Elephas maximus indicus: one gene and its partners. The protein of the gene in region 3 purifies or fractionates together with the protein of the main gene of each other region. This does not show direct contact. Links are inferred from orthologs where the notes say so. Each region holds a gene or a part of one and is shown on either strand. Other genes may lie near its edges. The genes, in order: PHF10, VPS72, ACTL6A and SMARCD2.

Region 1 (7,376 bases), about 210 Mb from region 3:
TTTATGGCCTGTGGATACATAATCCTTTGCCTCCATTTGCTGCAATTGCCTGTAGTCCCCTGGCTTATTCCTTCTCATTACTTGAAGACTTGTGTTACTGGATCACAATCTTCTTTACCCAACTCCTGCCACCATTCTTAGTGACTTAAGTATCCACATAGAAGACCCATTTAATAAGGCAGTACTTGCTTTTCAGTGTTCTGATATGCATAAATTTTAGTTACCATCATTTAGCTAAATAACACTAGTCCCCCAACAACATGGCCCAAATCTCAGTTGCCATGGTGTATTAACTGTGAGAAACTGCATAAGGTAAACTTCACAGCTGGCTCTTTGATCCACAGATCACATATGGAGATAACAGATGTGTGTCATGCTCCTCTTTTGAAGTCCGTCAGGTTGGTCGCTGCGTGTCTGCACTCAGGGCTTCAGTTTGCACAAACAGTAGAGTGTGTAGTTATGCTGCCTCCTCATCTCCCAGTGATATACCCACTTGATGTTTTATTAAAAATGGGTAATCCAAAGGGGGAACTGGCCAAAAAGGTCAAAATGTACAGCAAAGAAACAAAAAGTGATAAAGTTGGAAGGGAAATTTGGATGTGATTAGGAGATTTCAAAATGAGGACAGCAAAGCAAAGACAGGATGAGATCTAGGCCTGTGTGAAGGTAATGTAGGAACATCGGGAAAAAGTGCAGTGAATATAAAAAACAAGGTAACGTTGCTTCGGTATTTTTTAGCTTAATTGCACTAGGAACAGAAAGCTGTTCACAATTGAAATGGAGACTTTCTTCTACCTTGGCTTGAAGACTGCATTAATAATAATAATAATAAATACCAGACAGTTTGATTAGCACTCAGGACAAAGTGTGGAAATCAGTTGTCCCACTGAAAGAAAACAGTAATTATAAAGAGACTGAACCTTTTACTGCCAGTGAAGGCCGGTCTTGTTTCAGAAGTCAGCATGATTGATTCATGTCAGGCTATCTGGTAAGCTGCTAGCGCAGGTGATGACACTGCAGGCGTCTGCACCCAGAGCTCGCAGGAGAGTCATGACAAAAGGGGACCATATCCACATGGAGCAACTCCACATTGAGGAAACTCTGGGAGGCATTCACGACATTGAAAATACAAATGAGAACTTGTTGGAAGCTGACCCAAACTTAGAAAAGAGTATGACAATTTATCAAGGTATAGGAAAGATAAGTTATAGAATGAGAAGGCAAGCAAGGTTCACATTACTCTTTTTTTTTTAAACAAAGAACTCTCAATGTTTTTGCTGTTTTAAATTACAAACATACTAAATAAATACTAGCTTTACAACTTTTTTCATTTCCCTATACATTTAAAAGAAGTCCCTGGGTAGCACAGATGGTTTGTACTCGACTGCTAACCTACAGGCTGGTGGTTCAAACCCATCATGCAGCGCCTTGAAAGGCCTGGTGATCTACTTCTGAAAAATTAGCCATTGGAAACTCTATGGTGCACGGTTGTACTCTGATTCACATGGGTCTCCACAATTCACTGACAGCAACTAGCTAAAATAATAGGTCACTCAGAATTGCCTCCTTAGTGCTCTTCCCTGTCTTGCACATTGGTAGTCTGAGTATTTGTTGAAATGAAATGTTTTATATTCGTATTTGGTCTAGAGACAGAATAGCTAAGAAGAGTAGGGCAAAATAACTGAATAATTTAACATTAAGCTCTTTGCACGGAAATCTGACCGAGTCCCCTGAACAGTGAAGAGAATTTTGGGGCGAGGTGGGGCCGGATGGAGTGGGTGGAAGGCTGCATCTGCGACCTTCACTCTCAGCTTCTTGCCTGGACTTCAGGCCGTTTTCCACCGTGGGCTCCTGGAATAGGGCGGGGAGCAGGTCTGACTGAGGTTGTGGGAGAAAGCGAAGTCTGAATTAGGAGAAGTTCCGGAGCCTGAAGTTGTTGGTGATGCCGTCTCTGATTTGATGCAAGTGAGAAGGCCCGGGAAGGGTGGGCTGGGAGGGTAAATGAGGGTGGTTTGTATTAACGTGATGGACAAAAAATCATTCATGTCTCTCAAGACTTTTGGCTGCTGCGTGTAGGCAAAAATATGAATGAGAGAGAAGCCATGTTGTACTTTAAATCCAGTTGCCCGGACTAACGTCTCATCTACACTCTGACAGTCAAGCGCCTGCTGAGAGGTCAGCTTTGACTCATTTCTGGCAGTTCCGGAGACAGTCACAGTTGTCTCCCACGTGTTAAGGTTGAGTCCCCAACATTCTGCTTTTCTAGAGAAGTCCTGGAAGTGCCTCGTGAGGCCGGAGGACTAGGGGTGGTAATAGATTCAGTCCGCAACGGAGAGCCGCCGTTTACTCTCAACGGGCTTGCGCAGTGCGCTTTGCAGTGACCCTGACGAGCCACCCGTGAGAGCCGGGCGCGCGGAGCCAGGGCCGGGCAGCGCTGAGGGCGTGTGTGCTCGCGCCCGCCGCTCCCGGACGCCGCCCCCGCTCCCGCCGCTCCCGGACGCCGCGTGCGCACGCCGAGCCTGGGTGGGCGCGCGCTGGGCCGCACGCGGGAGCGCCTCAGCCGCCGGCCGCCAGGGCTGCTCCCGGGTCTGCGTGAAGCGGGCGGCGAGAACAAAGACGGCGCGGGAGGCGGCTGCGGGCCGGTCGCGAGGAGAGGCGGGGCAGCGCTAGGACCGGGGACTGCGGGGCCGGGGCCTGAGGGCACCGTGGGACCGGTGACGGCTCGTTCCCGGGTCCGAGCACTGACGGGAGCGGCGCGGCTCCGCGGGCGCTGACGGGCGGACAATAGGGAGAGAGTAACGTGGGGAGGGGTCGGTCCCGCGGGCTGCGGTGGCGCGGAGAGGGGGCAACCGGCTGAGGAGAGAGGCGGGCCGGAAGTGCGCCGGGACGCAGAGCAGCGGCAAGAGGGGGCGGGGCCTAGGAGCGCGCCCGCCTTGAGGGGTGCGGGAAGCGCAGCGCCGGGTCCGGCTGAGGGTGCGGAACTGGGGGCGGGGCTAGGTGGAGGGGCGGGGCCTCGGGGGTGGTCCGTGAGGGGAAGGTCCCGGCCGCGAGGGGGCCGGGCTGAGGGGAGGGTCCAGGTTGAGATGCCCGGCCGTGAGGGGAGGGTCTGGGACGGGCGGTGGGGCGGAGCCGTGGGGGGGATACGTGAGGGGGCTCGGCTGAGGGGATAGTGCGGGCTGAGGGGAGGGTCCGTGAGGGAAGGTCCGGGCCGAGGGGAGGGTCCGTGATTGGAAGGTTCCGGCGGCGAGGAGGACGGGCTGAGGGCAGGCTCCGTGACGGGGGGGTCCGGGCTGAGGGGACGGTGCGGGCCGAGGGGGTGTGGGCTGAGGGGAGGGTTCGTGAGGGGAGGGCTCGGGCGACGAGGAGGGCAGGCTGAGGGGAGGCTCCGTGACGGCGGGGTCCGGGCTGAGGGGAGGGTGCGGGCCGAGGGGAGGGTCCGGCCTGAGGGGACGGCCCGGGCCGCGAGGGGGCCGGGCCGAGGGGAGGGTCCGGGCTGACGGGAGGGTCTGTGAGGGGAGGGCCCGGGCCGTGAGGGGGCCGGGCCGAGGGGTGGGTCCGGGCTGACCGGAGGGTCCGGGCTGAGGGGAGGGTCTGTGAGGGGAGGGTCTGTGAGGGGAGGGTCTGTGAGGGGAGGGCCCGGGCCGCGAGGGGACCGGGCCGAGGGGTGGGTCTGGGCCGACCGGAGGGTTCGGGCTGAGGGGAGGATCTGTGAGGGGAGGGCCCGGGCCGTGAGGGGGCCGGGCCGAGGGGTGGGTCCGGGCTGATCGGAGGGTCCGGGCTGAGGGGGGGGTCTGTGAGGGGAGGGTCTGTGAGGGGAGGGCCTGGGCCGCGAGGGGGCCGGGCCGAGGGGTGGGTCTGGGCCGACCGGAGGGTCTGGGCTGAGGGGAGGGTGCGGGCCGAGGGGAGGGTCTGTGAGGGGAGGGTCCGGGCCGAGGGGAGGGTCTGGGCTGAGGGGAGGGTCCGGGCTGAGGGGAGGGTCCGGGCTGCCAGGAGCTTCCGGGCCGAGGGAGGGCCTGCGTCTGGCGGGCGGGGCGGGGCTCGGCGGCCGCGTTGCCGGCAGGGCGGTGGGAGGGGAGGGTGACGTGAGGAGGGGGCCGAGAGCGTCCGCCATCGCTCGCCGGCTCCGCGTCGCCTCCTGCTTCTCCGGCCCTCTCGGCGGCGGCACTCGGCGCGGCGCTGGCGGCGGCCATGGCGGTGGCGGCGGCCATGGCGGCGGCGGGCCGCGGGGCGCGCGGCGGCAGGGGCCGGCCCCCGGGCGGCGGGCGGGCGGGGGTGGCCGAGGGGGCGGGGCCCGGGGCGCGGCGGGCTCTCCGCGCGGCGGCGGCAGCGGCGGCGGCGGCAGCTGCCGGGACCAGGCGGCGGCGGCGGCGACGGCGGCGGCGCGGGGCGCTCGGGCTGATGGCGGCGGCGGCCGGCCCCGGGTCGGCGCTGTCCCCGCGCCTGTGCGACGGCGACCCGTCCGCCCCCGGAGCGCAGTCCCCAAAGGTGAGGAGGCGGCGGGAGGCGGGCGGCGGGCGGGTCCCGCGGCGGCCGGGCGGAGCTGTGGGCGCCGCCAGCCCGAGGCCGCGGCCGGTCCGAGGGGAGCCGCGGCCGGTCCGAGGGGCGCCGCCGCCGGGAGTTTCCGGAGAAGTTCTGTTCCTCCGCGCCCTCACGGCGCCCCGGCCCCGGACGTGCTCGGCTGCCCGGCGGCGGTTCACCCTGGCGCCTTCCCTGAAAACGGGGCGGTCCGGGAGTCAGGCCCCGGCGGCGGGCTCCGTGGGCGGCAGGTTCGCGCGTGGTTTCCTCTTTTCAAGGAGCGCGAAACGGCGAGACGCGGACGGGGGAATTGGAAGCCTTTTCCCAAAACTTTGCGGCCATTTCCGTATCTGAGACTGTAAGCTCAGTTCCTGAAAAGCTTACTCAGACTTTATTAGAGAAGCGTTGTGCTTCCAGGTAGAAACGAAACTCTTCATAAATAAAAGTCTATTTCGTATTAGTGTGGGATAGTGTGATGTTCTCAAAACATCATTCTGTGAATTTTTTCCGAGATACTTGACCCCTTATTAAAACGAGGGTTGTAAACAGCCCTGGAAACAGGACGTTTCTTTAGTGAACTTAGTAGAATGGCTCAACTAGCACGGCCGGGACGCTGGCGCCGACGGAGACACCTTGTGGTCGCACAAGGCTGTCCTGTGCCGGCCGTCTTCCTGCTCCTTGTCCTCTGGGGGACCTGGTGTTTCAGGTGTCCCGGCCAGTGAACCTAAGTAGACCAGGTGTCTGTCCGCACACCACTGTCGTCCTTGCAGCATCTCATGCAAGGCTGGCATGTGCTGGGCTCGGCCAGGATCCAGCCTGCAGGACGGGGTACCTTATCGAAGGTTGGAGCCACCTGTAACCACGAAACGTAAATGTCTGTTTGGGACGTTTGGGAGTTTTTGAAAACATAGGTCAAGGTTTCCAGTAAACTCTTAGGACTTAATTCTATTCCATAGTATGTTGGGGAAGACATTGCTGGCATTGTCTTGAAAAAGGTGAGCTAACCGAATTCTTACATAATAATCCATTTGCCTAGGATAGCAAATTGCAAACTCTTTATATATGGAGTTGTGGTTTCAGCTTTTTGAGGACTTATTTTAACTTTTATTATTGAGTATCTCAATTTTTTAGCTAAAGAGAAATATTTTTAAGCAGATTGACTTAAAAATCCTTAAAATGTTTACAAGCAAGTCAAAAAATAAGGATACTTTGACTGTTGAACTCTAGAGGTATTGAATATGAAATGTTGCAGTTGTAATACTACTTAATTGTAGTTGATTAGTAGTTTTTTTTAGTAGTTATTTCAATGTAAAATTTCTGAGAGTAGCTTTAGACTATTCTCCAGGTCCTACCTGGCTGATGGTCTTAATAAGAATATACAGATCTCTTTAGTTGAATGCTTACTTTATAAGGACTGAAAAACAGTATTTTGTACATTTTACTGAGTGGGGAAGGATGTGAGTAAATTCCTAACAGCTGGAGACGTTTGAGATATTTGAATAATTACCATTATAATCATAATATTAACTAACATTTATTGAACATTTAAGCTGAGGCTAAGGGAGCTCAGCTGCTGACCAAAAGATCAACAGTTCGAATTCACCAACCACTCCTTTAAAACCCTATAGGGCAGTTCTACTCTGTCCTATAAGGTCCCTGTGAGTCAGAATCGACTTGATGGCAGTGGGTTTGGTTCATTATTTCCTAGGCATTGCTCTATGTGCTTTCCATGCGTTAACTCATTTAATCCTTGCGTTAACCACATGAAATGGGCACTGTTACCATCTTGACTTTACAGATAAGGAGAGGCCCCTAAAGGATGAGCACGCAAGCTCTACAGAGGGGCAGCATCCGGTGATTCCATGCGTGATCACTACCCCATACTGCATCTTTGTTTTCCTTTGTAGGGTTCCTTTCATTTTAGTATGTAGCAAGAGGCCTGTGGTATGTTAACAAAATTGTATTAGTATTAGAAAGTTACAGTAATTTGATTTTTAAAAAATCTGTGTTTTTAGATCTTGTTAAGTGCCTTCTAGCTGGCTCTGACTCATAGTGGCCTTGTGTACAACAGAACGAAACACTGCCTGGTTCTGTGCCATCCTCACAATCATTGTTATGCTTGAGGCCATTGTTACAGCCACAGTGTCAATCCATCTCCTTGAAAGTCTTCCCCTTTTTTATTGACAGTCTACTTTTCCAAGCATGATGTCCTTCTCCAGGGACTGATCTCTTCTGAATAACTTGTCCAAAGTATGTGAGACGAAGTCTTGCCATCCTTGCTTCCAAGAAGCATTCTGGCGGTACTTCTTCCAAGATAGGTTTGTTTGTTCTTTTGGCAGTTCATGGTATATTCAATATTCTTTGCCAACACTATGATTCAAAGGCATCAATTCCTCTTTGGTCTTCCTTATTTGTTATCCAGCTTTCACGTGCATATGAGGCGATTGGAAACACCATGGCTTACCCCTTGACTAGTATGTGAATAAATCAATTTCCTAATGTCTAATTCCTCATTTCATTTCCTTAATGGAAATGTTGAACTTAAACAGTTAAAAACCAGTTACCCTGGAGTTGGTTGCCACTCATCGTGACTCCATGCGTGCCAGAAGAGAACTGTGCCCCACAGGGTTTTCAGTGACTGATTTTTTGGAAGTAAATCACCAGGCCTTTCTTCTGAGGCAGCTCTGGGTGAATTCAAATCTCCAGCCTTTCAGTTATCAGCAGAACAGGTTAACTGTTTACACCACCTTTGATATTCTTGTCACATAAAGGATTGCATTAAAAGTTTTTAAATCTCTCCTTTTTGGGGGATGTGAGTATGGCTGTACAGATTGATGACTTTTTAGGGTATATTTTTGCTA
Region 2 (7,625 bases), on a different chromosome or scaffold from region 3:
AAAAGAAGGAATCATGAGCGGATGGAATAACAGAAACAAAGGTACAGAAGCAGGAATTTGTAAAGCATGTTTATGGAATAAGGATTTAGACCCAAGTAGAGCAGAGAGTTTGTCTCTGGCAAAAAGCCTTCCTAGCTGAAGGCCTTTGAATCTGGCACAGTCAACCATCTTCCAACATTAACTGATTGCCCTTCAGTATTTTACGATTTGAAAAGACAGCTGCATTCAGTCTATAGAGAAGCTTATATGCCAGGCATGACTTTAATATGCAGGCCAATGATTCTCAATCTTCTTCCTCCCCTTATTTGTCCTAGCACTATTACCACTGTTGAGGTAAACTAACATCACTGAGAGAAATGTCTCATTTCTCAGGTGTGCTGGGAGAGACAAACAGTTGGGTGCTACTACTATGGGTAATGGGGAATGTGGAAGATTTGGGAGAGGCGAAAACAGTGTGACAAAGGAGTGTTTCAAAAAGCTCTGGAGGTGGTTAGATGGGCTGAAGTAGAGCTTGGAGTACAGCCTAAGCCTGAGATGATGCAGGTTAGGGCTAGAGTGGGAGCCACCACGGAAAGGGAAGAGAAAAAAGCACTTGGGAGAAGGGAACTCAACTGGGCTGGGCAGCACCTCAAACATGTGGCTCTCTCTTCAATCAGTGGTACAGATTGATGGGCTAATCTTGGTACACATGCTACCAAAGCAAGCAAATAACACTGATGGGTGACACTCCAAGCTGGCCAGAGTTCAGTCTTGCAGTGATGACCATCATTTCCTCCCAACTGAAGTTTGTGAAAGACGGCCTCAGAGCACATTAATCCTCTCAGCTCTAACCAGTATTAAGTCGTATCACTAGAGGGTAGTAGTTCAACTACACATTAGCTTAGTGCTCAACCGAAGTGCTTTCACTAAATCATGAGTTTACTATTACTCTTTTGGTTTTTAATGACGGTCATTAATAGGCATGACTAGATAAGAAAATGTTTTTATACCCATAAAACCACTATTACTTAATATACTTTATAAAAAACGGAATGATAAATTTTTCCTGGAATTTAATGCTGAGTAAGTTTGTCTCTTTTGATGGAAGTACTTACATGCTTCTTTCTTATTAAAAAAAAAAAAGAAAGAGAGAAATTCAGGGTTTAGCTGTCAAGAAGCTCATAGCTAAATTTAATATCAACTGCTATTACCATTTTAGCATAGGCTCCTGGTACAATTATCTGATCTGTCTCTATTTTTACTGTTCCTACTTTTTGTTTATATAATAAGCCTTCTTAAATCCTTTTTGGAAGCATGAAGGGTACATATTAAATAACTACTCATAAAATGACAGGAATAGGAAAATGGGCTGAGGGGAATTGGCCTTGGAGGAGGGATGAGAAAGTTCTATTTTAAACTACTTGGTTAAGGCTGTGTAAGTATGACTCCTAATCAGTCCCTAAGTCTATGGATTCTATTTCCTTACTTTCTCTTGAATCCTCCTGTCCATGTTTCTCCCTCCCACAGCCACAACTTCAGTTTAGACCACTATTATCTCTTGCCTGGATTTTTGCAACTGCCTAATCTGGTTTCTTTGTTTCTAGTCTTGTCCCCTTCAAACTATTCCCCTCACACAGAGTACTCTTTCTAAAGTATAAATCTGACTATGGAACTTGGATGAAGCGTCTCACTCTAAAGAAAAAAACTCCTTAATTTGGCTCACAATGCCCCCTATATGATCTGGCCCATGCCTATTTCCTCCAGCCTTTCCAATCTTTATTCTTCTTCATCCTCTGGAAAATGGGGTAGACTTGGGGGTTCCCAGACAAGACCTGAATCTCAGTGCTTTTACACACTCTTCCTCACCCCCTCCAGTGTACTGATTGGTCCCCTCCCCCAGCTCCCAGCCCTACAGCTCTTCAACCAGCCAAAGTCTACTCTTAATACTGTCTTCAGCTTAAACATCATCTCTCCTTGGATGGCTATGCTGACCACAACTCTGGCTCCCATGGGTTACCATAGCATCCTATGTTTACCTCTTATTTTACTGCTTATCACACAATATTTTAACTGCCTGTTAACCCAACTAGTTCTCCCATGCAGGTATGAAATGTTAAGGACAGTGTTTTTAATACTCTGTTTTCTTAGAGGCTATTACAGTGCCTGGGATGCTCTGGGTGCTCAATGATATTTAATAAATGGATTTGGTCAATAAAAATCTAAGGAGTGACATTAGACATATACTGTTGAGCAAAACAGACTATCTCTAAACTTGTAGAGCTTACAACCTAATAGGAAAATATAAACAAATAAGTAAACCAAATCCAATTACAAATTGAAATATGTCCTATGAATGCAACAAATGGGGACACTTTTTCAGGTCAAAGAAGAGTTACCTAAGGAGACATTTACAGTGAGACTTGAAGCCTGAAAAAAGGAATGTGCTAAGCCCCTCTATCTTTTGGAGAGATTACTTTCTACATGTCAGTTAAATAACCAGGCAGCTGGCCAACGAGTATATACCGAATGACTACGATGTGCCTTGCATGGGGTGAGAGATGCAGCTAGAGAAATACACAGTAGGTTTCTCCCACACTCTGCTGTCTCCCTCCAGAGAGCCTCTCCACCCCTGACTCCCTTCAGCCCTGTCCAGGGCTCTGTTCTCTAGGACTCCACTGTGTATCCCCAGACTCTCTCACCCCGTCTCGAGTATCTGCGTCCAGGACTCCTCTCTATTCCCGTTCCCTTCTTCTTTGGCAGGACTCCTCTTTTCGTTTTCTCCCCTCCCTCTACCTGGGCCCGGCTCTTGCCTCTGTGAAACCCCCATAAGTCGTCTGGTAGAACTCATCTTCCTCCTCGGCCTCTAGAAGCCCAGAAAGCCGGTTCCCGGCGGTCTTCCGCGGGGCTCGGCCCCCAGCCAAACTCATACCGCGCACCGAGAGTACGCCGCCGCCTGCGGCCCCTCACCCAGCTCGGGTCTCGGAGCTCGGCGCTTGACACCACTACCTGCGTGTGACCGATGCAACGGAAGCGGGGCGTCTACAGGCAGAAGCAGCAGAGCGTCGAGGGCCTCCAGCCTTCTTTACTCTTCAGCCCCGCCCACTACTGCGCAGAGCCTCTGCTACCCCTGCCTTATCCCGCAGGGGCTTCGGCTGTGGGAAGCATGCCATCCCTGGCGCTGAGAGCCTTACTACCGTTAAGTCCAGAATTTGCGAGTCGAACAGTTTCCTTTTAGAAGAGGTCATTGTCCCCCTGCTCCAGTCCGTTTTCCGCTCTGCTGCTAGTAAGAAACTTTCTAAAAACTTGTACGTGACTTTGCCACTCTTCTGCTCAAAACCTTCAATGGCTCTCCATCTTCCACAGGATAGAGTCTAAGCTCCTCGAGGCAGAACAGTATTGTGATTAAGAGCACAGTTTTAGAGCCTACTAAACCTGAGTTCGAATGTGAGCTTTAAGGTCTTCCAGCTGTGTGACCTTACCTCTTTGAATCTCATTTCCTCATCTGTAAAATGGGGCTAATAATACCTTTTAAGGCTGTTGTGAAGATTAAAAAATATACTTATTAACTGATTAGCACAATTTTAGTCCGCACATGGTAGATGTTTAGTAGATGATCACTACTATTAATGTGCCATTCAAGAGCCTTCCTAACTTACCCTCTTCTTGCTTTTTTAATCTCACTTCTGCCACATCTCCATGTATATCCAGCATCACTCCCTTGAACCCAATTCTCTGTTATACCTCCAAGCTTCTTCTTCTTAGAATCCCTGTCCTACACATGAGACCGTGTTGGTATCTCCTGTCTGGAGAGGAGATGAGAGGGCAGAGGGGGCCAGAAGCTGCCCGAACGGACACGAAGACAGACGGTGGAGGGAAGAAGTGTGCTGTCTCATTAGGCGGAGAGCAATTAGGAGTGTACAGAAAGGTGTATAAATTTTTATATGACAGACTGACTTGATTTGTAAACTTTCACTTAAAACACAATAAAAATTATTTAAAAAAATTCCTGTCCTTTCTTGTCTACCTGGAAACATTCTTATTCTATAGGGGAGTCAGGAGTACTGAAGGAAGAAGTCCAAGTTGCTGTGAAGGCATTGGCGAAAAACAGGGCTCCAGGAATTGGTGGAATATCAATTGAGATGTTTCAACAAACAGATGAAGCACTGGAGGTGTTCACTCGTCTATGCCAAGAAATATGGAAGACAACTTCCTGGCCAACTGACTGGAAGAGATCCATATTTATGCCTGTTCCCAAGAAAGGCGATCCAACCAAATGTGGAAATTATAGAACAATATCATTAACATTACACGCAAGCAGAATTTTACTGAAGATCATTCAAAAACGGCTGCAGCAGTATATCCACAGGGGACTGCCAGAAATTCAGGCTGATTTCAGAAGAGGACGTGGAACCAGGGATATCATTGCTGATGTCAGATGGATCCTGGCTGAAAGCAGAGAATACCAGAAGGATGTTTACGTGTGTTTTATTGACTATAAAAAGGCATTCGACTGTGTGGGTCATAATAGATTATGGATAACATTGAGAAGAATGGGAATTCCAGAACACTTAATTGTGCTCATGAGGAACCTTTACATACATAGATCAAGAGGCAGTTGTTCAGACAGAATAAGGGGATACTGATTGGTTTAAAGTCAAGAAAGGGTGCATCAGGGTTGTATTCTTTCACCATACCTATTCAATCTGTATGCTGAGCAAATAATCCGAGAAGCTGGACTAAATGAAGAACAGGTCATCAGGTTTGGAGGAAGACTCATTAACAACCTGTGTTATGCAGATGATACAACCTTGCTTGCTGAAAGTGAAGAGGACTTGAAGCACTTACTAATGAAGATCAAAGACCACACCGTTCAGTATGGATTGCACCTCAACATAAAGAAAACAAAAATCCTCACAACTGGACCAATGAGCAACATCATAATAAAGGGAGAAAAGATCGAAGTTGTCAAGGATTTCATTTTACTTGGATCCACAATCAACAGCCATGGAAGCAGTAGTCAAGAAATCAAAAGACGCATTGCATTGCGTAAATCTGCTGCAAAGGACCTCTTTAAAATGTTGAAAAGCAAAGGTGTCACCCTGAAGACTAAGGTGCGCCTGACCCAAGCCATGGTATTTTCAATCTCATCATATACATGTGTAAGCTGAACCAATGAATAAGGAAGACCAAAGAAAAATTGATGCCTTTGAATTGCGGTGTTGGTGAAGAATGTTGACTATACCGTGGACTGCCAAAAGAATGAACAAGTCTGTCTTGGAAGAAGTACAACCAGAATGCTTATTAGAAGCATGGATGGTGAGACTGCGTCTTACATACTTTGGATGTGTTGTCAGGAGGGATCAGTCCCTAAAGAAGGACATCATACTTGGTAAAGTACGGGGTCAGCGGAAAAGAGGAAGACCCTCAACGAGGTGGACTGACACAGTGGCTGCAACGTAACAACGATTGTGAGAATGGCGCAGGACCAGGCAGTGTTTTGTTTTGTTGTGCATAGGGTCGCTATGAGTCGAAACCGACTCGACGGCAACAACATAGGGCAGTCAAGTCTTTCCTCACATCCATTCCTCTCGTTCCAGGCACAGTTCCCATAACTATGGCGATCATGCCTCCTGGAGTCTCTGGAATAGTTTCAATTTATTTTGTGACATTTTCAGAATTCTGTGTCTACTTCTGTTCCCATTTTTCATCCTGAAAATGTAGTTGTCAAACCATAGCACTTGTACATAACTCCATGATGAGACCTTTTGTTGTAACGATTTGGGTGTCTGTCTCCTTTATTAGTTTATGATCTTTTTGAGGGCAGGGACTTTATCTTCATCTCTTATGCCAGGAGCTTTCATACTGCCTGGGGCAGTTGTGGCTAAATAATGTACATTGAATGATGGAATTAGCATATTACAAATGGAATGAATTAGTACCTGTGCTCTTATTCTTGCCTCTGTGTTGCTTTTGCCAGCCACCAGCCATTCCATTCTGACTTTAGGAACTGTACTAAGACATAAAGGAAGCTTTTCTAAAGCTGTGTGTTTGTGTGTATGTCTTCCTGGCCATATTTTGTGGCCACCACATTGCGCCTTTTCCTAAAGTATATATTGGTGAACTCCCTTTTTCACTTCCTTGGGGGCACCAAGCCAACTTGTCCCGCCCTGCCCCTGCATCCACACCCTGCCACGTCACCCCAGTTTTGCTATGCCAGGAATGTTACTGCCCTCTATGACTCAGAGGGCACCCTGGGGATGGAGTGGGAGTGGGGACAGAGACAAGGTTTGGGGGTGGGCGTGAGATGCCTACTTCTTAAATACCCCTAGCTCCACTTCTTGAATTTTGCCTTCATCCATTCATATATTCAGGAGGTATGTATTGGGTACCTACTCTGTTCCAGATGTTTGAGATATTAAAATTGACGTCATCTTTGTCCTGAAGGGTTCATAGTCCTATTAGGGAGACAAATAGGTACACAAACTGACATAATACAAGGTGGTAGGTATCTAATAGTAACCATTTTCTGGTACATAAAGCAGAAACTAAGACTCTTAAGAAGCCACCAAACAGGGGTGTCTTCTTTCAGGATGGCTGAAGTCAAATTCACCCCTTCATCCAAGTGACAGATCAGATCCCTTTGTTTGACCTCCTGCCCTGGTAACTTAGGGCTTTATTGGTCTTTTTCCAATTTTTAAATCAGAAACAGCTTTACCTCTATACCAGCTGATAGCTAAAATAACTCAGGAAACGGTAGCAACTCCATGCTTTATATGGAAACGGAGATAATCAATAAATATTGAACACCCACTATGAGCCCAATCCTGAGCTAGGCAGTGTGCCCCCACACAGTCCCTGTACTGTTTAGTTGGGTGGGGGGTATAGAATTAAAAAAAAAAAAGAATTAGGCATCATAAAATACTTCAACACTGCACAATTCCACTGCTGTGAAGTTACCAATGTCAATCCAATCCTTTGAAGTAGTTGTCTACTTTCATACCCCAAAGAGGAAGAATAATCCAGCAGGTGGCAGCAGGGAAACAATCTTGGATCTAGTAGGGGAAGGATAGATAGAAGGGGATATTCTATGGACATTCGGGTCCTAGATTCCTTCAAAAACCCGGAATATCTGGATAGAATAACTAGGCCCCATCTTGAGGGCTATAAAACTTATACGTGTTTTTTTTTTCCTCATTTATCTTCATTGATTCATTCAACCATTAATTATTGAGCCCCTGCGATGTACACAATCATGATGAGGAGCCGGAAATGCAACAGTAAACCGAACAGTTCCTGCTGTCCAGTAGTTTACAATCTGTTCAGACAGGTTTCTGAATCACCACCAGGGTTCAGAACCTCCAAGGTACTTTGTTAAAACTGGAGTGGGTTAGTGGAGTGGGTTAGTGCGAAGACTAGACGATGGAAATTGGGCAGTTTCTCTGTTTCATCTCTATGACCTGTGGAGCACAGAGAATGGAGAGTTGGAGGCTAAGGGTTTGGATCACGCAAAGGTTTTGATATGGTCTAATGGTCTTCCATTAGCAAAGAAAGGGAAGATGTCACTGTGAATACTAGGGTGCACCTCACCCAAGCCGTGGTGTTTTCAATAGCCTCATACGCATGCAAAAGCTGAGCAGTGAGTAAGG
Region 3 (7,080 bases):
CGTGTTCCTCCCTTTTGGCTTTCTAACTCCAGATCTTTGCACACTTTATTAAAATACTTTGTCTTCTCCAGCCACCCTTTAAAATCTTCTGTTCAGCTCACTTTCTTCATCATCTCTTTCATTTGCTTTAGCTACTCCACGTTCAAGAGCAAGTTTCAGAGTCTCTTCTGACATTCATTTTGGTCTTTCTCTTTTCAGTCTTTTTAATGACCTTTTGTTTTCCTCATGTATGATGTTCTTGATGTCTGGTCTTTGGTCATCAGCGTTCAATGCATCAAATCTATTCTTGAGATGATCTCTAAATTCAGCTGGGATATACTCAAGGTCATACTTTGGCTCTCATGGATTTGTTTTAATTTTCTTTAACTTGCTTCAAGTTGAACTTGCATATGAGCAACTGATGTTCTGTTCCACAGTCGGTTCCTGGCCTTGTTCTGACTGATGATATTGAGCTTCTCCATTGTCTCTTTCTACAGATACAGTCGATCTGATTCCTATATATTCCATCTGGCGAGGTCCACGTGTATAGCTGCCATTTATGTTGCTGAAAATTGGTACATGCAATGAAAAAGTCAGTGGTCTTTCAAAATTCTATCACATGATCTCCGGCATCACTTCCACCACCAAGGCCGTATATTCTAACTACCAATCCTTCTTCATTTCCAACTTTTGCATTCCAATCACCAGTAATTATCAAGGCATCTTGATTGCACGTTTGATCAATTTCAGACTGCAGAAGTTGGTAAAAATCTTCAATTTATTCACCTTTGGCATTAGTGGTTGGTGCATAAATTTGAATAATAGTCGTATTAACTGGCCTTTCTTGTAGGCGAATGGATATTATCCTACGACTGGTAGGGTTTAATTCAGGATATATCTTGAAATGTTCTTTTTGATGATGAATTTGACACCATTCCTCTTCAAGTTGTTGTTACTGGCATAGTCAGCCATACGATCGTCCTATTCAAAATGGCCAATACCAGTCCATTTCAACTCACTAACAACGCCTAGGACATCAACCATTATGTGTTCCATTTCATTTCTGATGAGACGGGATTAGAGGCAGTTATGTTAATGAGGCAGGACTCAATCTACAGGATTAGGTTATATCTTGAGTCAATCTCTTTTGAGATATAAAAGAGAGAATCAAGCAGAGAGGAGATGGACCTCACACCAGGAGAGGAAGGGGTCCTTTGGACCCCGGGTTCCTGTGCTGAGAAGCTCCTAGACCAGGGGAAGACTGATGACAAGGACGTTCCCCCAGAGTCAACAGAAAGAAAACCTTCCCCTAGAGCCGGTGCCCTGAATTCAGACTTCTAGTCTTCTAAACTGTGAGAAAATAAATTTCTGTTAAAGTCACCCACTTGTGGTATTTCTGTTATAGGAGCAATAGATAGCTGAGACACCCTGTCAGGAAATACTTCTTGGATCAGTGAACCTAAAGTCGTAATAACATCAACAGCCTCCACGAGGCACAGGGCACATAGACGCTGTTTTTCTGTCAGGATTGCACCTTTAGACTGGGAAGACGTAAATCATGAAGATCCTCTAGGACCTCTCCAAAATAATAGTGGGAAACTACTGACTCTTACATTCAGAAATGAAAACCAAGGACATAAACAAAAAGGGAGAGAGGGGGCAAGGGTCCCTATACTACCTCAGAAGAGACTCTGAAACTACACTCCAAAAACTAAGAACTTTGAAGCTTTGTTTTTGTTTACCCCCTACCCAAAAAATGCCATCTTCAGAAAAGAAATCCCTACTAGAAACAGTAACAATGCCCATACTTTGGATTTGTCTCCTTGTTCTCTAACTCATCAAACACAATGCAAAATGTGAACCATATACATCAGTGCTTCAAATCACCCGGGAATCTTACAAAAATACAGGATCTGATTCAGTAGATTTAGAGGAAGGCCTAAGATTCTGCATTTCTACAAAGCTCCCACGTGATGCTTATACTGCTGGTCCATGAACCTCACTGAGTAATATGGATACGCATTATCTCAGTTTACCTTCACGACCACCCCCTCAGGTAAGTATGATCGTTCTCATTCCATAAAGGAGGAGCCTCAAGTGGAGAGGTGACTCGCCCCAAGGGCCGAACAAATGGGGCGGATGATATTACCGCGCAGGTCTGTGTCGGTCCCAGGCCCGCTGTGATCTTCCCCCACACCACAGCCTACCCACAGAAACAAACCAAAAGGCACGCGGGATGGCGGCAAGCTCTCTGCGACACCCTTCAATCACACGTGTTCCGCAAGTAATCCCAAACAAACCCGCCCACGAGGAACTCTGGGGACTCCAGTCAGGGCCCCCAGTCAGGGGTCCCAGTCAGGGACTCCAGTCAACAAAGCGCCGGGAGCTACTGAAGGCGGGAGGCATCGCGGACGGAGGGCTGGTCCCGAGCGGCCGCCGCGCCTCCAAGCCCTTCCGCCCGTCGCGGCGCGCTCTGCGATTCAGGCTCCACGCTAGCGAACTGCCGGACCTCCCAAGCCCGAGCTCACACGCACCCCGACGCGGCCGGCTGTGGAGACTCCGGAAAACGGCGGCCCCGAGCGGAGCTCCTGCGCAGCCCGAGCCCGAGCGCCCTCCAGGGGCCGCGGAAGGGCCCGAGCCCGAGGCGCTCACCGAGCCCGGGGGTCTGGGGCGGGCAGAGCGCAGGGCGGGGATGGGGCGGGGAGCCGGTCCCGAGTGGGAAACCCGAAAGGGCCGACGAGGAGGGATGCGGACGGCAGTCACGGACCCCACACTCCAGGAGCCGCGCTCCCTTCTGGCCGCACTCACTCACCTCCCCCGTACACACCACCGCTCATGGTTGCTTCTGGCGCGACGCCTACGCCACAAGACACCCGGCCAAGGAACCGCAGCGGCTGCAACTGCAGGTCCCACGACGCGTTACGCCGACCCCCTCAACTTCCAACGCCACGCCCCTCAGGCAACAAAGCAGCGTCCGCACACCCTGGAGCACAGCCACACTTGCTGGCCCCTCCTGCCAGCCAAACACGAGCGGCCCAGGCTACGCTCTGGCCATTCAGAATGAACCTATGCTGCTTCCCTGCCGCGGCTCAGCTAGTTTAGCCAATCGAAGGCAGCCATGGGGAGTGGGAGGGGAGGGAGCGACGCAAAGAGAGAATGAGTTGGGCTGCGGAACTGGAAGGGCGGGGCTTACCGGGGTGGGCGGGGAGAGTGTGGTGGCGCAGGAGGATGAGGAGGAAGGCTGGACGGCAGTGTCGGGGGCGGGTCCGGGGGTGTGGCTGGGCTGCGGGGAGCGACGGGAACCGGGTAAAGGAAGGCAAACCACCCGTAAAATAAAAAAAAAACCAAACCGGTTGTCGTGGAGTCGATTCCGACCCATAGCGACCCTATGGACTGAGCAGAACTACCGTTGGGTTTCCAAGGACCGGCGGGTGGATTCGAACTGTCGACCTTTCCTTTGGGAGCTGAGCTCTAAACCACTGCGCCACCAGGGCTCCAACCACTGGAAGTAGAGTCTAGAAATTCAAAGTGTTTTCATGCAGTGATTCCTGGCTTTGGAATGTGATGAATGAGGAATATTTTTTCTTTTAGAAAAAGTAGTTTTCACTAACTTTTATGTTGAAAAAATTAAAATATTTAGGGTACAAGGAATCAGTAAATCAAACGAACTGAAAGGATCCTGGAATTTTTTAAATGGTTGCTAATAATTTAAAGGAGAAAGACATAACAAGTAAATTTAGGTAGCACTTTATACTGTCATCCTTTATTTTTAATCCTGTGAGATAGGTTTCAATCAACCCTCATCCCAGCAACCACCTAATCCTAAATCTATCCTAATCCTAATCCTAAATCTATCTCCAGACTGTTCATAGTCCCCTGTTTCCACCCGTCTGGTCCAGTCCAGATCACAGTGGCTTCTTCCCTGGATTACTCCAACAACTTGTTACTCTGCCTTTTCACCACACTACAGGACGCTTAATCTTTACAAAATCTGGCCATGCCAGTCCAACTCGGACACTTAACGGTGTTGCATATCCTTGCGGTTAATATCAGTTCTTAAGTTAGTATATCTAGAGTTTGGACAGATAGCCGCTACTCTTTAGGATCGATTGAATAAAGCCCCCATCAATCTCAGAGCCAGCAGAGTGGGAAAGAGATGAGAATTGGGGTGCTGAACAGGGCTAGTGAGAAAACTCCCATTCATTTGACAATAGGACTATCTCACATCACATCTGATTATTTAACCCATCATTTAACCCAATGAGGTAATGCAGGGGTTTGCTAACTGTCGCCTGAAGGCCAAACCCAGCCTGTCATCTGTTTTTGTATGACCTATTACTAGAGCTAAGAATGGTTATTACATTTTTAAGAGTTTACCAAAAAACAACAAAAAAAATTTTTAAGCATAGTATTTCATGATGTGAAAATTTAAATTTTGGTGACCATAAACTACGTTTTAGTGAAACACATACAAGCTCGTTCACTTATAGCTGCTTTCACTCCATAAAAGCAGAGTTGACTAGTTGTAACAGAGACAGTGTGGTCCACTAATCCTAAAATACTTTCTCAGACCCTTTTCAGGAGAAGTTTGCCAACCCTGCAGATAACACATGTAATGGAGGGTGCACCGAGGTACGCTGTGTTAACTGTGGTCCCCATGATTGTAGCTCACTGTAGGGGCATCTCAAATCCCCAAAATGCTTCTACTTCCACTCTGTTTTTATGATGTGTTTGGCTAATAAAGCTGATGATTTATAAAATATTGTGATACTTTGATCTTTAATAGTTAAATATTGAAGAGATACTATTTGTAAGTTTTTTAAATTAGTAATGCATTTAATCAATTTAGCATTTGAATGCATAGTAATTCATAATGAAAAACTCTATCAATCAAGAACATTGTCTGAGACTTCAACTTGCTTACTTTGAATGCGTCATACTAGGTCCAGTCACCGGAGAAGGATATCATGTTTGTAAAGTTGAGAGCCAGCAAAGGCATGGGAAATCCTCAGTAAGATGGACTGATAGAGTGGCAGAATCAATGGACTCAAACAGGCCAACAATCATGAAGATGGTATGGTCCTGGGCAACATTTTATTCTATTATACATGGAGTCTCAGCTAACACACACACACACACACCAACTTAAATGGATTATACATACTGCTCTTATTAATATTATCTCCATCGTCTCCCGTGCATGGAAAAGAATATATTCTAGAAATAAGATACCTACCTTATTTGTGCAGCAGAGGAGAAGCCTGGGATGCTCAGACTGTCTTCTCCCACCATCTTCACACTGCAGTGCGGGGGGCAGGGGGAATCTCAGATATGATAGTACCAAGAAGAGAGCTAGAGAGAAGACTGCTAAGTCATGCTTGGATGTGTTTGATTTTAAAGGAAGGATTTTGCCCTCTTTGGTAATTTGGAGAAATATTAGAAAGCAGACCATTCATAATTTCAGGTCAGCCTGTTTTCTTGATGTATCACTGAACTCATTGTGTTTATTAACCATTGAAATGAGCTTCAAATGAAATGAACTTCTTCATGGTACATCTGATGTGTCAGTGCTCATCACATGTTAATGCAGATACAGGTGACTGTTAAGAAAGGACACTCATTGAGCTTCTTGGATCAGGTGGACACTTGGGACTATGTTGGTATCTCCTGCCTGGAGGGGAGATGAGAGGGTAGAGGGGGTTAGAAGCTGGCGAAACGGATATGAAAAGAGAGAGTGGAGGGAGGAAGTGGGCTGTATCATTAGGGGGAGAGTAATTGGGAGTATGTAGCAAGGTGTATATAAGTTTTTGTGTGAGAGACTAACTTGATTTGTAAACTTTCACTTAAAGCACAATAAAAATTATTAAAAAAAAAAAGAAAGGACACTCATTCAGCAGGCTAAACAAGCTGTTATACCATTGTCAATGCTGGGGAAACTTTTGCAATAGCAGCTTGTTTTCTTCCATTCTCATAATTAGAAAAATTAGTAGAAAATACATTAAAAGTATTAACCCAGCAGAATCTACTTTACCAAACGTGAAATACCTGAGGCTTTTTTTTCCTGCATTAATATTTCTCCTCTGTAGCCTAACACAAGGCGCTCTGGTAGCACAGTGTTAAAGCAATTAATAACAAAAAGGTGGGCGTTCGAAACCTCCAGCCCACTGCTTGGGAGAAAGACATCTCTTCCATAGAGATTTACAGTCTTGGAAACCCCATGGGGTCACTATGGGGATCACTCAATGGCAGTGCATTTGAGTGGGTACCCTAGTATGTTTTCTCTAATGTAAACTCTGCTACATTATGTTACAGATAGTTTCCCCCCCCCCCCAACTCAAGGAAGCCTCACGTGTGTCAGAATAGAACTGTGCTCCACAGGCTTTTCAATGCCTGATTTTTCTGAAGTAGATCGCCAGGCTTTTCTTCCAAGGTGCCTCGGGGTGGACTCGAACCTCCAACCTTTCACTTTGCACCACCCAGGAACTCCTACAGACAGCTAGTCAAATTTAAAAACAACAACAATAGATGCTACTCAAGGTTACTATCTGTCACTTCCATTTCACGGGCATAACATATCAAAATAGTCAATGCTTATTAGTTATGTCAACCTAAACCCAAAAGAGATTGAAATAGCATGTGTGTTAACTTACCTAGCCCACAGTAGATGCTCAGTGGTTGACTCTGAATCCAAATCTACAAAAACATGTGCACTTTCAAAACTCCTTTAGAAAATCCAAGCATCCAGACTGTCTTCCATGTACTGAGGGACAGCACTTGGTTTTGCCTCATGGAGGCACTGGTCTTCCATTCTTGTAATGCTGCATCTGGACACTTGGGATGCTACAGCTTTACTCCTTTTGTCACTGGCTCCCCAGTCCTCAGGTTATAGAATCACAGCAGTTATTGCAAAAAGACTGCTCTTGTCCTTTGTCTCAGCCTTTATTAAGTTTAGAGTTGAAAAAAACTGTTATTAATGCAATCTAGGATACAAATTCAGAACATTAGCATCCATCTGTTAAGACAGGTCCTAAAGGAAATGACACAAACATTCAGGTACACTTAAAATTATGTTATTTCATAACATAATTTTATATATGACAC
Region 4 (8,000 bases), on a different chromosome or scaffold from region 3:
AGCTTGGCCCTGCCAAGCTCCACAGCTAGCCTTTGAAGCATCAGTAACTCCTCCCCCTTCAAAAAAATAACCCAGGAATTAAAAAAAAAAAAAAAAAAAGCCCAGAACTCTCAGCTCTTGGCATTCCAGATTATGCAGCCTGCAGCCCAGCTAGGTGGGCTTGACTCAGTCCCCTGACCCTCAGAAGCATGCAGTAACCTCCCCTCTTTGGCCCAGCACAGGCCATATTGTAAGCTTGGCTCCACCACCACCACCACCACCACCAGGACAGCAGGGGCAGAAGGCTGGGCCTGATGCTGTGGGCCTCCAGCTGAGGAATCCAGACCTCAAGAGAGCACGTTCTTCACTGCCCCAAGCCTGTGGCCCCGACACTCCTGGTGGCTGGGCCTCAGTTAGAGGAGAACATATTCCCCATGAGCAGCAAGTATTCTAAATTCTCCAGAATAAACCCAGCAATTCGTGGTGCCTGCGTGCGTGCACAGGTGGGAGCATACGCGTATGTGTGCACTTCTGATTTTCTGGTGTTTTGAAGCTCCTCCGCTGACTGTTCGAACCAGTGTCTAGAGGGAGCTGGTTCATCACGCCCCTCTTTTCCGTTGGCTCCCCTAATTTGCCTAGCTCAGGCCCTCGAATGTCTGCTCTTCCACCTCACCTAACGAGCCCTCATAGACAGGAACTGCTCTTGCTCCTCAGATCCGGGAGTCAAACCACCCCCCTTAGAAAGAGGGCAAGCAGATCCTCCTACTTCCAAACTCACCAAAGTGAGCTGGATTCTCCCTCTCCACATCTACGGATGGGATGGGAAGCCTTGGGAAGCAGAGGGTCGGTGCCTTCCCCTAGTTCCCCACCATAAAGCCCAGGCCACTCGGCCAGCCACCTCGGCCTTGCTGCAGTACCACGGCCACTCCCCACAAAACCTTGTGGGATCAATCCTAGAAGGGGCTTTCCTAAGGGCACATTTCCCATGGGGTGCATGCCAAGGGAGCTGAACAGTCTCCTCTCCGATTTCAGGTCTCCCCAGGCCTAAGGCTCACAGAGAGACTCACAGTCCAGGTCTCAGCTAACAGGCCCAAGGGCTATAATGGTCCATGTGGAGACCCCTCAGGGACACTTGGGCCCATGAATCCCCAAAGGGGAGGGCAAGGTGGGAAAGATGGACTCCAGCTGGAGGCCTTGGGGCCAGGTCAATCTCTGTCCATATTCACACCTTCTGTTTTCTTTTGGGAGAGGAGAGAAAGAGACAGAGCATAAGAGGAAAAAAAAAAATCACTGTCCCCCGTTAACTATTTCTTTAGAAAGTGACGGCTCTGCACACATCCTACCCCATGAGGGACCACTTCCAGGACCTCTCCCAGGTGACATGAGGAGGGGTCAAAGGAAGTCCCAGTGTAGACCTTGGGAGATTAGTAAGAAGCCTGTGCCAAATGCTGGGGCACACGGGCTGGGATATGGTGGTATGAGACCCTTAAGGCTAAATGAAAATGGAGAAGGGGTAAAAAGGACGGACAATTCTCAAGCATTCTGGGGCCACCTGAAACAACGGACGGGACAAGGGGACTGTTGAGTCCCACCAGCAGGGTCAGGCAGAGTTCCTCACACACTGACCCTGAGGATCCAGTCTGTGCCTCTCAAAGCCTTTGGAGCTCTCCTCACAAACTCCAAAGGGGTCAGGACAGTAGGGTCCTTCGAAGTGACTCTCCCAGCTCCTTCCACCCCAGACCAGCAGGGCTCAGTGGAGCTTCCCTGCTCCTCCAGACTAATCAACTCCTGGACACTATGACAACAGGCACAAAGCCAAGAAGAGAACGGCCGGAACGGTCTGTCACGGGGCTAGGCTTTTCTTCCTCAGCCTGACCACCACGGTCTCTGCTCTAACTCAGTCACCCCATTAAGTGGAATCCCCTTGCTCTGTCCTCAGCCTCCCACGCTCTGGGAAGCCAGGCTCTTCTTCCTCTTAAGCAGCTGGGAGCCATCTAAGAACGCAGCCAGCCAACAGGACAGGGCATGCTAAACTCTCCCAGTTCCGGACTAGAAAAACCAGGGTAGACTTGGGGTGGGACGAGGTCAATGCAGCAAAACCCTGATTTCTCAGTGAGGGCCCTTGAGGCTCCCCTTTTCCAAAACTTTCTCGTCACTTCCCAGGACCCCAACCCAGGATCTACGCCAGATTTCTCAGAGCCACACATTCACTAGCTCCTACGACTCCTATATCTCACTCAGAATCCCAGCCCCCACGGGACCCCCAGACCCTCCGAACTGCTTCAAACCCTCCACCCCAGAGACCCTCTTACCCTTTTCCCCCAACTCCTCCACCACCTCCCGGCTGCACCCTGAGGGTCCCTGGTTTTGTCTTCCACATATCCCATGAGACCCCGTGCAGGGACTATGCCCTCTGCCCAGGAGGCACTCCCAGGGCCTCTACCCGCGCGCCCGCTCTGTCCCTGCCCGGGGCGCCCTCGCGGCTCCGCCCGCCCAGCCACCGCCTTACCTGGTACGGCGCTGCGGGCCCCGCGGGCCCCATGGGGCGGAAGGCGGCGGCCGCGGGGCCCCCCACGCCTCCAGCCGGCCCTGGTCCCCTGAGCGCCGGTCCGGGCAGCATGCCGGGTCCCGCGGGGGGAGGTGGCGCCCCCAGGGCCGCGGCCACGGCGCTGCCGCCGGGGCTCAGCGGGGGCAGCGGGAACCCGCCCGCGCCACGACCCGACATCGCTCCGTCCCGTCCGGCGGTGTCGCGATCCGGACTCCGGGCTTCGCGACGAATCCGGTCCGTGCTCCGTGCTCCGGGACTTTCCGATCTAAATTCCGGGTTCTGCCAATCCGAGTTCTGGGGTTTGCTGATCCGGGTTCCGGGATTTCCTAATCCAAGTTCGGGAGTTGCTCACTGACCCGGTTTGGGCTAGGGCCAATCCTGATTCCGCTCCTGTCGTGCAAATTCCGGATCCGGGATCTGCTACGCGCCCGCCCGCCGCCCCCGAGCCGCGGCAAGTTGAGCCGCCGGCGCCCAGCTTACCCAGAGGCTGCAACTAGCTCCCTGCCCCGCCCAACCCAGCCCTGCAGTAGGCCCCGCCTACCTCTAGCTGCCCAATGCTAGGATGCCTCCTCAAATCCCGCCCCTCGCGAGACCCGCCCCTAGCAGGCACCGCCCCTAACTGCCGGCCCCCCCCAGGCCCCGCCCACAATGCTAGGGCCGGCCCTTCGCCGGAGGGGCGGGAGAGGAAGCTTAGCCCGGAAACGCCAAGCAAGGCTCGGGGTCAGAAGTCGAAGGTTACATGGGGCCGCCACACTGACTGGGGTAGTTGCTGCTCTCTCTCTGGTGTAGCCGCCAGACTTTACGTAGTTTTGTCAGATATCCTTTTTACATTTTCAGCATTAAAGACAAATAAGGGCTGCTCTCTGGGGCAGAACAGCTGCCAACTCGGCTTTCTTATAAAGCTCTTCCTGGTGGCTCAGAGCTGCCAAAGGACATCAGCGGTTCCAGACCCGACCCAGCTGTGTTAAGGGTCGACTTGGCTAATTGCTAAATTCTTCTCGTGCATTTTTAACATGGCTTTGCCTCACTTTAAGGAAGCCCAGTACTTGACTTCACATGAAGTTTTTCTAGGTGAAGAAAATTTGGACTATGAAAAATCTCCCTGCAGTTAAATAAGGTGTTTCTCCAGTAGTTATAGCACTTCATTTTTCAAAAATCCAGGTAGCTTACCTTAGGTGATCTGAGGTCTCCTCCCCTAATACAGACCAGTGCTTCACAAGCTTTTATGAGCATACAGGACACCTAAGGCTCACATTAAAAATGTTGATTATGATTCAATAGCCCTGATGGTGCAACAGTTTTAAGTACTTGGCTGCTACCTGAAAGGTTGGTGGTTTGAACTTACTCAGTGGCTCTGGGAGAGGGACCTGGCAATCTGCTCCTGTAAAGATTAACCAAAAACCCAAATCCATTGCTGTCCAGTCGATTCCGACTTATAGCCACCATATAGGACAGTGTAGAATTGCCCCGTAGGGTTTCCAAGGCTGTAATCTTTAGAGAGGAGCCTTGGTGGTGCAGTGGTTAAGGGCTCAGCTGCTAACCAGAAGGTCAGCAGTTCAAATCCACCAGCTGCTCCTTGGAAACCTTATGGGGCAGTTCTACTCTGTCCTGTAGGGTCACTATGAGTCTGGATTGACTGGTCAGCAATGGGTTTGGTTTTTGGTTTTAATCTTTAGGGAAGCTGACTGCCACATCTTTCTCCTGACGCCTAAAAATTACAGCCTAGGAAACCCTATGGAGCAGTTCTACTCTGTCACATGGGGTTGCCATAAGTCAAAATCAACTTGATGGCATCTAACAACAACAAGGTCTGGAGTGGGGCCCAAGATTCTGTATTTCTAACAAATTCTCAAGCGATGCTGTTGCTACTCAGACCACACTTTGAGTGGCCAAAGTAAAAGACTGTTTGGCCTATTTGGCCCTAATCCTCTGCTTTATGTTTTCATCCCCAAGCAAGTGATTGCTTACCTCCTTGTACCATAGCACCCTAGAGCTTGTTTATAGCACAGCCCTCCAGTCCTTTTTAGAAATTAGTTTTCCTGATATGTACCTCCTTGTATCTTTCTTCCAGTGATAAACCCTGCTATTGCTGCTGCTTTGCTACCTCTTGGTCCTCTCAGTTTCCTCTTCCTCCTCAAAAGTCAGTTTACCTGCCAGTCTAGGGACCAAAAAAAGCTCATCGCTGTCAAATTGATTCTGACTCATAGCAACCATAAAGACAGAGTAGAACTACGCCAGTGGGTTTCCAAGGCTGTAAGTCTTTATGGAAACAGACTGCCACATCTCTCTCACGGAGCGACAGGTGGGTTCGAACCACCAGCCTTTCAGTTAGCAGCCAGGCTGAACCACTGTGCTGAAACACTGCATCGCCAGGGCTTTGGCAGTCTAGGGACAGGTCACCAGAATTGTTACATTCATTGAGCAGTGGTCTCTTCCCCTCACCTGTAAGATGGGTAAAGAGGTCATGATAAGGCAGTTAACATCCATTTCAACCCTTCTAAGCTCCTTCAGCAGGAGTTCTCAAGGAAGTGGTAGGGGTGGTAGAGAATCAAAATCGCCAGGGGAGCTGTTCCAAGAATATTCCTACCAGCCCCCTTCTTCAAATCCAGTAAGGAAGGGGGGACTCCCTGTACTGTATTTTAAGAATAAGCCTTCCAGTTATTTCTGATACAACCCCCCTTCTAGAGAACTACTGCTTTGGAAAAGAGGCTGCTAGTATGTGCACTTAAAAACAGATAAAACAGTTCAGTGTAAACCAGACCCTACTAATCCCTCGTTTAATATCCTTCCCAGCTCATCATTGCTGTTAGATTGAATGTCACCCTCCCTTTCATGACATATAAGTGTTCTACAAGGACATGGCACTTGCTTACCTCTTTGGCACATTTTAAATCTCAGCCATTGGCTTTCTAAGGGCCAACAAGAAGATGGTCTCCCTGCAGTTTTTCAAACTGCAAGCCCCTTCCCGCCTCAGAGCCTTCTGCCCCCAGCTCATTCTAGCTTTTCCACTGTCTCCCTTACTTCCTTTACTTCCTGTCAAGTGATTATCACAATATGTAATTACTTACTTATGTGTACGCAATTTATTGTCAAGTAGCCCTGGTGGCATAGTGATTTCAGCTGCTTGCCGAAAGGTTGGTAGTTAGAACCCACGGGAGAAAGATGTGGCAGTCTGCTTCCATAAAGATTACAGCCTTGGAAACCCTATGGGGCAGTTCTGCTGTCCTGTAGGGTTGCTATGAGTCAGAATCAGTTCAACAGCAATGGGTTTTTTGGTTAGCTTACTGTCTGATCTGGTTCCCCCACTAAAATATAAACTCTGTGAAGGCAGGAACTGTGCCTCTCTTCATCACTGTTGTAACCTATTCAACTCATATTTAGGAATGAATAAATGAGCTATGAGTGTAGTGGGAGAGAATGATAAACAGATAATGTCAAGAATAACTTAATTATTGTGATGAAAATATCTTCAAGATATTAGGGGGAAAATACCGATATCTAAGGCATGATAGAGATTAAGAAAGATTTCCCGTAGGGTAGGCAGAAAATAACCCAAAACCAAACCTGTTGCTGTCAAGTCAATTCTGAAAATAAAAAAATAGCTAACATTTGTTAAGCATTTACCATGTGCCTGCACATATTACCTTTTTAATCCTTACAATGTATATGAGATACATACTATATATGATGTGTTGTTGTTGTCAGGTGCCATCGAGTTGGTTCCAGTTCATAGTGACCCTGTCTGTGTTCAAAAGAACAAAACACTGCCTCATCCTGCGCCATCCTCACAATCGTTGCTATGTTTGAGCCCACTATTGCAGCCACCGTGTCAATTCATCAGGTAGACGGTCTTCCTCTTTTTTGCTAACCCTCGCTTTACCAAGCATAATGTCCTTTTCCAGGAACAGTTCCCTCTTGATAACATGTCAAAAGTATGAAGATGAAGTCTTGCCATCCTTGTTTCTAAGGAACATTCTGGCCGTACTTCTTCCAAGACAGACTTGTTCGTTCTTCTGGCAATCCATGGTATATTCAATATTCTTCACAACACCATAATTCAAAGGCATCAATTCTTCCTTGGTCTTCCTTATTCATTGTTCAACTTTCACATGCAAAATTTACACATGGTAAGATCAACCTTTTTAGGTGTAGTTTTTTTAAGTTTGAAGAAATGAGTACAGTCATATAACTACCATCACAATCAAGATAAATGACATTTCCATCATTGCAAGTTCCTTCATATCCCTTTGAGGGCAATAGAGTCCCCTATCCCCATCCGCAGCCCTTGGCAACCACTGATCTGATTTGTCTCTGTAGCGTTGCCTTTGCCAGAATGTCATATAAATGCTCTAGCATCCACAACCTAGGCACTTAACCACTACGCAAAATTTATTACCTCTTGTTGGTAGCTGAGTCTGTTATTACTTGCAAATAAATAGTGTTCAAGCTAGTGTCATCCGGAATCAGAGAAAAATAAGTTGATTAGTAGGTCCTGATTAATCAGACAAGGTTTCCTGGAGCCCTTTGGTTTGAAGGAGATGCTATTAGTGGTTACCTAATAGGCAAATGGAATCTGCTGTCTCACCTCAGGACAATTCAAGATCTTGTGAAAAAAGCACTGAGTTAAGGCTAAAGAATAGATAGAGATGGGGGAAGAGACACACCCACCCTCATAGGACTTAATTATGCAGCTCGTTATTAGACATTGCAGTCATGGAGGCATCATTCCATGCCTTTGTTCCCTCAGCAAGGAATGCCTTTTTCTCTCTTCCCCTTCTTCCCTCCATACTTAGTCTGCTCACTGCCCACTTTTTGGAGATCCGTTTCAACAACTTTTATTGAGGCCTTCCAGTCTAGAGAAAGGGCTTTCCCATAACCTTTCCGTCTTGATCCTGTTGCATCTACAGAGAGATTGGAACGGAACTATTTAATTTAATAAAGTATTGAGAAAAATGTTTTATTGTGCATTAGGTAAAAGTTTACAGAGCAAATTAGTTCCTCATTCGATAGTTTGAACATGAAGTGTTCCATGACATTGGTTTTATTCCCTACATAATGTCAGCGCTCTCCCCATTTCCGTCCTAGTTTCTCTGTTTCCTTTCGTCCTGATTTTCTACCCCTTCCTGCCTTCTCATCTTTGCTTTTGGGCAAATGTCCCTCTTTTGATCTCCTATAATTGATTATTCTAAGGAGCACATTCCTGTCAGGTGTTACTGTTTATTTTACGGGCCTGTCTATGGTTTGGCTGACAGGTGGTCTCCAGGAACGGCTTCAGTTCCAATTCAGAGCTTGTCTTAGGGCCATAGTCTTGGGGTTCCTCCAGTCTCTGTCAGACCAGTAAGTCTGGTCTTTTTTGTGAATTTAATTTTTTGTTCTATAATTTTTCCTCCAGCTCTGTTTGGGACTCTCTTTTGCTATCCTAGCCAGAGCAGTCGGTAGTGGTAGCCAGGCACCATATAGTTCTTCTGATCTC

What was found.
Region 1: the proteins of ACTL6A (region 3) and PHF10 purify together in Homo sapiens (affinity purification with mass spectrometry; 3 studies listed by BioGRID and IntAct, with this or other methods). This does not show direct contact. The link is inferred for Elephas maximus indicus from reciprocal best matches to the Homo sapiens genes ACTL6A and PHF10.
Region 2: the proteins of ACTL6A (region 3) and VPS72 purify together in Homo sapiens (affinity purification with mass spectrometry; 3 studies listed by BioGRID and IntAct, with this or other methods). This does not show direct contact. The link is inferred for Elephas maximus indicus from reciprocal best matches to the Homo sapiens genes ACTL6A and VPS72.
Region 4: the proteins of ACTL6A (region 3) and SMARCD2 fractionate together in Homo sapiens (co-fractionation; 5 studies listed by BioGRID and IntAct, with this or other methods). This does not show direct contact. The link is inferred for Elephas maximus indicus from reciprocal best matches to the Homo sapiens genes ACTL6A and SMARCD2.

Annotation. Positions count from the first base shown.
Region 1 is NC_064819.1:242,847,836-242,855,211, reverse strand, and holds the start of PHF10 (PHD finger protein 10), read left to right. Parts: upstream 1-4,375; 5' UTR 4,376-4,398; coding exon 4,399-4,485; intron 4,486-7,376. UniProt on the Homo sapiens protein: Involved in transcription activity regulation by chromatin remodeling. Belongs to the neural progenitors-specific chromatin remodeling complex (npBAF complex) and is required for the proliferation of neural progenitors.
Region 2 is NC_064821.1:185,214,243-185,221,867, forward strand, and holds the start of VPS72 (vacuolar protein sorting-associated protein 72 homolog), read right to left. Parts: upstream 3,011-7,625; 5' UTR 2,907-3,010; coding exon 2,790-2,906; intron 1-2,789. UniProt on the Homo sapiens protein: Deposition-and-exchange histone chaperone specific for H2AZ1, specifically chaperones H2AZ1 and deposits it into nucleosomes.
Region 3 is NC_064819.1:35,368,391-35,375,470, forward strand, and holds the start of ACTL6A (actin-like protein 6A), read right to left. Parts: upstream 3,017-7,080; 5' UTR 2,817-3,016; coding exon 2,792-2,816; intron 2,763-2,791; exon of another isoform or gene 2,514-2,762; intron 1-2,513.
Region 4 is NC_064837.1:55,038,735-55,046,734, forward strand, and holds the start of SMARCD2 (SWI/SNF-related matrix-associated actin-dependent regulator of chromatin subfamily D member 2), read right to left. Parts: upstream 3,009-8,000; 5' UTR 2,705-3,008; coding exon 2,489-2,704; intron 1-2,488. UniProt on the Homo sapiens protein: Involved in transcriptional activation and repression of select genes by chromatin remodeling (alteration of DNA-nucleosome topology).